Linked DNA regions of Daphnia pulex. The protein of the gene in region 1 interacts with the protein of each later gene in a pairwise test. Links are inferred from orthologs where the notes say so. Each region holds a gene or a part of one and is shown in the gene's direction. Other genes may lie near its edges. The genes, in order: RING finger protein 11-like and rab5 GDP/GTP exchange factor-like.

Region 1 (3,926 bases):
AGTCCCGCAGAACCCGTTGCCTTCTCCGAACGCCAGAGCGTAGCCGCACAGCAAGTAGAACAGCGATCCAATACCTGCCGAAAGCGACAATAAATCGGGATTTGAATAACATAACTAATCAAAAGATATATGTCGGTAGCTTGATACTTGTGTCCATGTAGTTGAGAAAGAGGACGTTGGTGACGTTTTTACTTCTCACCGATCCCGACTCGTAGAACGCGAATCCCGCCTGTAAAACTAAACGCGAAATATTTCCTGTTTTCTTTTCCCCCGGCCAATCAATGTGATTTAAGGCTCAGTTTAACTCACAGAAGACGATGCTGCCCATGACAACGAGGAAAAAGATGTCGACGTTCTTCTTGAAGGACTCCAACTCGTCGTGAATGAGATTTATTGAAGCGATTGGATCACTTTGATTGATCAAGGGCGACGCCATGGCGCAGCACCGTGCAGTGACAACACTTCTTTTATTATTTTTTCCCCCCTGCACTTCGGGATATTCGTTCGCTCACGATTTTGTCAATGGAGAGCGGACGCTTAGTACATCGGGAAAAAGACTCTTTTTAAAGGCGAGAAACTTGCGTGCGGCGCACCAGCCATCTGGTTGTGAAGAGTCGGGAATCCGGTTCGTGACTAACAATGCCAGTTTCGTGTAGCTAAGAGATTCTGAGGACCAGGGCGCAAGTGCAACACAAATTCAGTTTCAACTCGTGAGTCAACTAGATTTTTAATATCTCTGTATCTTGCACTACTTCATCATCGATCTTCGATTGCCAAGTTGGGATGCCAAGCTCTAACTGGTTGTAATCTCACTAATTATAGATGGGCCATGCCTGGCCTCACATGGCCTACATTCTCCTATTCACTCAAGTTGGTGGACATGCTCATCATTTTGGAATGGCTAACTTTTATGCTGACAGTTATTGTGTGTAATAACTTAGGATGCGTAGTTTCTGTGTTTGTTTGTCAATGATCTAAATGACGCAGCGAAGCTAGCTTGGCAACTCACGACACTTTGATTTATTCATTTATTAACTGTCATAAGTACATGGGTTTCCAAAGATATATCAACTACTACTGGAAAAACAACACACTGGTTAATCTTCTGATTGGTTGGTGACACTGAACTTAGACATTAGAAAATTAGAATTATTACATTAGAAAACATTTAAGTTAAATAGAATGGTTTCGATCTATACTCTAGAACGTGAGTTATTGATGGATTTTACCTGCACTGCTTTTTCGATTTATTTTGGGATGACGTAGGCCACGTCAGTACATCGTCACATATTGATTTCTAGCTCGGTTTGAATTTGGCGCCACCTATCGTACAGCGCCGAAATATCGGCCGACAAAATGTTTTGGTCGAGTCACAAAATAAATAAAAAAATTACCAAATAGTCTTTACTTAATTATTGAAGTAATTTTTCATTTAAATTAATATTAGAATGTTTTCTTAACTAATAATAGTCAAATGTTGTGAAACTTTGTTTTTCACGAACAAAAAAAGTAGGTTACCCCCCCGGAAAAGCCTTGATGTTTTTATCCCGAATTTTGTGACAAAGAGAAATCAGCTGGCCAGGAGAGCACACGATGCGCTGAGTGATTGCGTTGTTGTTTGACTTAACGTTTCTCTGTCTATTTGAGCTCATTTCTTAAACAGCCAAATCTTATCAAGTACCGTGTACACGTTTCCAAATTTTGATATGTTGAATTGATAAACTAAAGTACTCGAGTGTGTAGTTTCGGAGCACCACCGATTCGCGTTGTTACTTTCGTTGTCGGGTGTTTTGTATTCGCCAGGAAAACAAAAGTCGTCAGGAATGGGCAATTGCCTTCAAGGTTGTTGCGGTTGTTGTCAATTCTCTAGTAAACATTAATTTTCAGTTAATTCATTTATATTCTCCTTTAGTTGTCCTTTGTGTTGTAGAGATTGTTTTGTATACAGAAATCTGGTGCAATCCCCAGTCAACTTCACTCAGCAAAGCCTGTGAGATATTTCGTAACTCTTGCCTTTGTTCTTTTCCAAGGTCTGACCTCGTCCACTGATGGGGTTTCCCTGCTTAGGGGTAATGAAACACCACCACCATCGCTAGAGTCTCAGTCTTCATCAGACTTGCAGCTGCATGCTTCTTCATCCTCAGGAATGGCTTTTGGGCCTCCACCTCCATACGAGGTTTGTTATTCCAGTGATCGAGTTTGTTGCCGTGACCTTCAGTATAGTTTTTTTGTAGGAATCCATGCCCATGTATCACCCAACTCCCAACGTGTCAAGACCAGCTTCACAGCTCACCGAAGAAGAGCAAGTGAAGATAGCCAAACGTATTGGTCTCATCCAACACCTACCCACAGGAACTTATGACGGGTGCAAGAAAAACAGAGAGTAGGATCTTTTTGAGTCACATTCAGTACTGTTCATTGTGGCGGTGTTTATTGTTATTTAATTTTTACAGATGTGTGATATGCATGGTGGAGTTCATGGTGGGCGATTCCGTTCGATACCTCCCATGCATGCACACGTATCATGTCGAGTGCATCGACGATTGGCTAATGAGAAGTTTTACATGCCCGTCATGCATGGAACCGGTCGAGTCGGCCCTCCTCTCGACCTACGAAGCCAACTAACTACTACATGCAAAAGACAAAGGCGTCATCACCTCATCAGTCCTGCTCTCTCTCTCTATAGAATGAGCTTCATCCGAACTGAGAATTTCATATTCGAAAAGCCGGAAATAACGCGTCATCGCAAAGTGATAACTGGATTCTTTATTTTGGTTCCTTTTCGAAAGTATTAAGACTGCGGTCGAAGAGGAGACTTTTTTGAGTTACGTTGTCCCTATGTTTAAAAAAGAGAGAGAAGGAGAAGAAGAGATTCCCGTGTGATAAAGTTTCGGTGAATTCGGTCGCACCAGATAGAAGAAGAAACTCTTCCTGGCTTCTGTTTTTACGCCTAGAGTTCGTACCTTTAAATATGATATACAAAGCCACTTTGTACTTTTTTTTTTCCTCTCTCTTTAGATTTTTCTATCTTTCATTGCGCTATAGGAGGAACGTTTTGTACCGCGATTATTAGTTTTTTTTTTCTTTATCGGCTCTCCTTTTTGTTTCGTTTTTCCTCGCCACTAGTCTCTCAATTTCACACTGTTGGAGCGTTCAAACTCGTTTCGTTGCTTATTTTTCCTTCTTTAAATTTTTTTTCGTTTGATTAGAGCTCGTAGATTCACGTGGGATTCAGGTCCTTCCGTTCTTTTGGGTTACAGTAACTTCTAAATCTGAAAAGGTGGTTTTTGTTGCTCTGTTTATTCTCTTCTTTTCCTGTTCATCCACAACTGCCTTTGGCGCATTAGCGCGCAAACATATTAAGGCATTCCTTTGCGTTATTCACTTTTGCAGAAACGTTTCTGATATTTACGCGGTATAATATGTTATCTTACGTGTGGTACGTCGGTGTAGTATGGTTTATTATTAGTTTTAACAACTTAATCATCTCTAGCAGGGAGGGGAGCCTATTTTGTGTCGTTTAATTTCCTTCTTTATTATTTTCATCATTTAGTGAACAGGAAAATCTTCTTTTTACTTCGATGATGATGAATCATAATGTTCAATGAACATATACGAGTGCTATTCTGCTGGTGAGTGTCGTTCGTGTAATAACTTTTTTTTTCGTAACGGCGAAATGCTAGTCCATCCCCATGTGTATGAAATATTATTGTAGCGCGATCGGGCGGCTTGGTTTCGAAATCATTACATGTAATCGGATCATTGACGATTGTGTTGACGAGGAGTTCATTGATTTCACTTACGTTTTATCTATGTAAAACTTCTAATTTCTTTGCATAAGGATTTTATAACTAGGTAAGTTCACCAGGAATGGATATATTTTCTTGTGATCCAAACTCACGAAACCAACATACAATTTGTGTTCC
Region 2 (3,273 bases), on another chromosome or scaffold:
GAAGAGAAAAAGAGGCATAATCAAGAGATGAGGACAACAGCCGTCAAGTCACTCTTCAGGAAGACACCCACCAAGGGTTTGGGGAGCCCGAAATCAAAAGACAAGAGAGCCCTCAGTCCGGAATCCCATTCAGCCATTATAGAATTGGATCAATTTCTGCAAACACTACCACAAAACGCTGCCCATCACGCCTACAGTTTCTTGAGAATGCAAGCCCAAAAACTGGACGGTCTAGTATCATCTGGGGTCCTCACTCCTTTGGAGATATCTGACAGGGTTCACAACATTTATCAAGTCTTTGACGAAAAGCTGAAAACTCATTCAGGTTTCTTGGGTAATCTTAACATATTTTCATCATTTTCATCACTTGAAACATCTTTTTTTCTACAGACATGACCAACAGCTCGATGGAATCCTTGTTAGATCACAGTGAACGTTACCTGACTCGACTGTTGTACAAAAAATTGTTTTGCCCTCACACCTGCGATGACGAAGAACGTGATTTGGCCGTTCAGAAACGTATCCGTAGTTTGAATTGGATTTCGGCCCCACTTCTCGACTGTCGAATCAACGAACTTGATTCTAAAGTTCGAGATATCCTCGAGAAGGCCATCACGCGTACGTTCCGTCATACATTACGTCTCGGTTCATCTAAAATACCTAAAATACCTCTATAAATTTAGATCTCATTGAAATGGACGGCCAGAGAGCACCTCAGGACAAGCTGGCATCGATTATAAATTGTAGCAAGTTGGTGTTTGAAATGTTGGGATTGTCCCACAATTCAAATGCCGATCAATCACGAACTCGTGCGGAAGAAGAATCCGGCGAAGGTCAGACGAAAGAAATGACCGAAGGTGATGCGGTAGAGCCAACTGTTTACAGTTCGCACCCAGTGAGTGCCGATGATTTCCTGCCGGCGCTCATTTACGTAGTGTTGCGTGCCAATCCACCACGCATTCATTCCAATCTCAATTTCATCACGAGGTATTATAATAATAATAGTTATGACTTTTTTTTGTTGTTGCCGCTATTTGACGTTGGGTAATTTCCATTTAGATTTGCGGCCCCTGGTCGATTGCTCCAGGGCGAGGGTGGATACTACTTCACCAACTTGGTATTTGCATAATCATTTTCACCTTAATTATGTGCGAGTAACGACGTTGGTTCTTTTGTTTTCTCTCTGGCCAGTGTTGTGCCGTTTCTTTTTTAGAAAACTTGACGAGCGATTCGTTGGGATTGTCGAGCGAGGAATTTGACCGTTACATGAGTGGCAAGTCCATTCCATTTGCGTCGCTTCAAGCCGGTGTGATGGTGTCGGAGGTATATTTACATTTCGGTTGTTTTTAAAGAATTGCAATCATTTCTCGTTTTATATTTTCAGGGTTTACGTCTCATGTACCAAAACATGTCGACCCTGTCGGAGCTGAAACACAAGCAGACAAACCTCCAGCAGCAAATCCTCGAGCTGAAAAGCGACATGGAAATCTTCAACGTAAAATGACCCTCATACTTTTGTTGTCACTACTTTTACGTTCGTTATCGTTTCTTCTTCTCTTCGTCATTCAGGAATGTGTGGGCAAGGAAGTGGTGGAGTGTTTGCAACAGTTTCCCGTCCAGATTCGGGGCAAACGAGCTCCAATCAAACCTGATGAGGTGCAGCCCAATGAGAGTGATACTCTCAAGCTGCTGCCTCCTCCGTTGCTTCCGCATAAAATCAGCGCAGAGTCTGCCCTTCCGCCCTTGGTGGATTCGATATCATCCAATTTGGAGCATCTCGTGCCGGACGTAGCCGCAGCTGCACCCGTGGGACGCAGGGTGGCGGCCACCGACAATCTACTGGACGGATCGATCCAGGAACTTGATCTGCTGGCTCTTAATGAACTGTCGATAAGTTGCTCGTCCTCTGGAGAGCCAAACACTCTGCTGCTGGAGACGACTACAGACGACGACCCGTTTAGTTCACTTTCTCTGACCGTTCAAGGCCGGATCATTCCGTGTATTCCTTGCGAAAACATTTCACCCACTGGCCAACAACTCCCTCCCTCCAACTAAAAACTCCCACCTCAATAGTTTTTGTTTTAATGATTTGATTTCGTTTTTCCCAATCGAAATGAAAATAACAAACAAAAAACAATTGAAAAAGAACAACTACTAGACAGGGAATGTAATATCCCGTTACCCTTTGCGAGTTCAACTCTATTGTGTAATTTAAATCACCTTAACGAATTTGCATGATGTGCTTTTTTCCATAATATTTCCCGGGCAGCATTAGAGTGAAACGCGATGACTGCTAACGTTTTTAACAAACACATTTTTCTCCCCTTCTCTTCCTATTCTAGTCTCTCTTATCTCAATGCTATTCCTCTGCCCTTGGTCATCCGCAAATAATTATCTTTGTTTTCCAAAGAGTCGTTTGAGTATTTTTCCAGTTCAAAGCGAAAACAGTGAAACTGTTGGGATTGCGGATGATTCTTTTGCATGATTCGTCTTGCAGGATGAATGTCTGTGGGCAATGTGAACATCGTGAAAGAGATTCAATAGAATTTTACTCGTGTATACATTGCAATTTTCTATTGATTTGTACGTGGGGTGGAGAGCCAGTCTACTGGGAATTCTCGCAGGTAATGGTGTTGGCGTATTTTCTTTTTTAGACAATTTAATTGTTGTTTTTGTTTTGCAAATTAACTCAATTTCGTCTAGGAACTGACAGTGAGGAACGCGATCGGTCTTCGGGGAAACACCTGCTGTCGCTGGTGAATTTATGGTAAAGAATTGATTCACGATTTATATTCCTTGTCAAAGCAAATGTTTCTATAGGCTCTTTTGCGCTCCAATGGCAGTTTTGGGGTACGACATTGATTTCTTCCCTTACGTAATGAAATCGGATCGTTGCAGGTAAAAGATTGTGCCATAATATTAACAAAGATTGAAAATGAATGGCCATTTCATGAATCTTCGTCTTAGCTTTCAAGTTAAATGATGAATCGATCCTATGGAGTAAACCGCAGCTGGCTGTCAACACCTTCCTGGCAAACGTCCGAACTGGTTACAAAAATATCAACTCCTCAACGAAAGTAAACTCTGATAAAAATGTGTCCTATTTATCAATGATAATTCACAACCTCTTAAATATTTGCAGTAACACGACAAGGAAAAAAAGTTCGTCGACAGTCAGCTGTCAAATTCCTTCGGATATTGGATGTCATTCGTCGCCGTAATCCAACGGACCGTCATCGCAGGATAAGGGACAGCATCTCTACCGGTAGGAAC

The links.
Region 2: the proteins of RING finger protein 11-like (region 1) and rab5 GDP/GTP exchange factor-like interact in binary tests that used the Homo sapiens proteins (3 or more experiments, as listed by UniProt). The link is inferred for Daphnia pulex from reciprocal best matches to the Homo sapiens genes RNF11 and RABGEF1.

What each region holds. Positions count from the first base shown.
Region 1 is NC_060023.1:11,168,578-11,172,503, forward strand, and holds RING finger protein 11-like, read left to right. Parts: upstream 1-1,539; 5' UTR 1,540-1,677; exon of another isoform or gene 1,678-1,743; 5' UTR 1,744-1,823; coding exon 1,824-1,869; intron 1,870-2,030; coding exon 2,031-2,176; intron 2,177-2,234; coding exon 2,235-2,383; intron 2,384-2,453; coding exon 2,454-2,625; 3' UTR 2,626-3,766; downstream 3,767-3,926. Other genes in the region: putative ammonium transporter 1, read right to left, coding at 1-74, 148-237, 310-436. UniProt on the Homo sapiens protein: Essential component of a ubiquitin-editing protein complex, comprising also TNFAIP3, ITCH and TAX1BP1, that ensures the transient nature of inflammatory signaling pathways. Promotes the association of TNFAIP3 to RIPK1 after TNF stimulation.
Region 2 is NC_060026.1:15,788,927-15,792,199, reverse strand, and holds the end of rab5 GDP/GTP exchange factor-like, read left to right. Parts: coding exon 1-334; intron 335-390; coding exon 391-618; intron 619-683; coding exon 684-987; intron 988-1,059; coding exon 1,060-1,117; intron 1,118-1,191; coding exon 1,192-1,323; intron 1,324-1,384; coding exon 1,385-1,495; intron 1,496-1,569; coding exon 1,570-2,055; 3' UTR 2,056-2,559; downstream 2,560-3,273. UniProt on the Homo sapiens protein: Rab effector protein acting as linker between gamma-adaptin, RAB4A or RAB5A. Involved in endocytic membrane fusion and membrane trafficking of recycling endosomes. Stimulates nucleotide exchange on RAB5A. Can act as a ubiquitin ligase.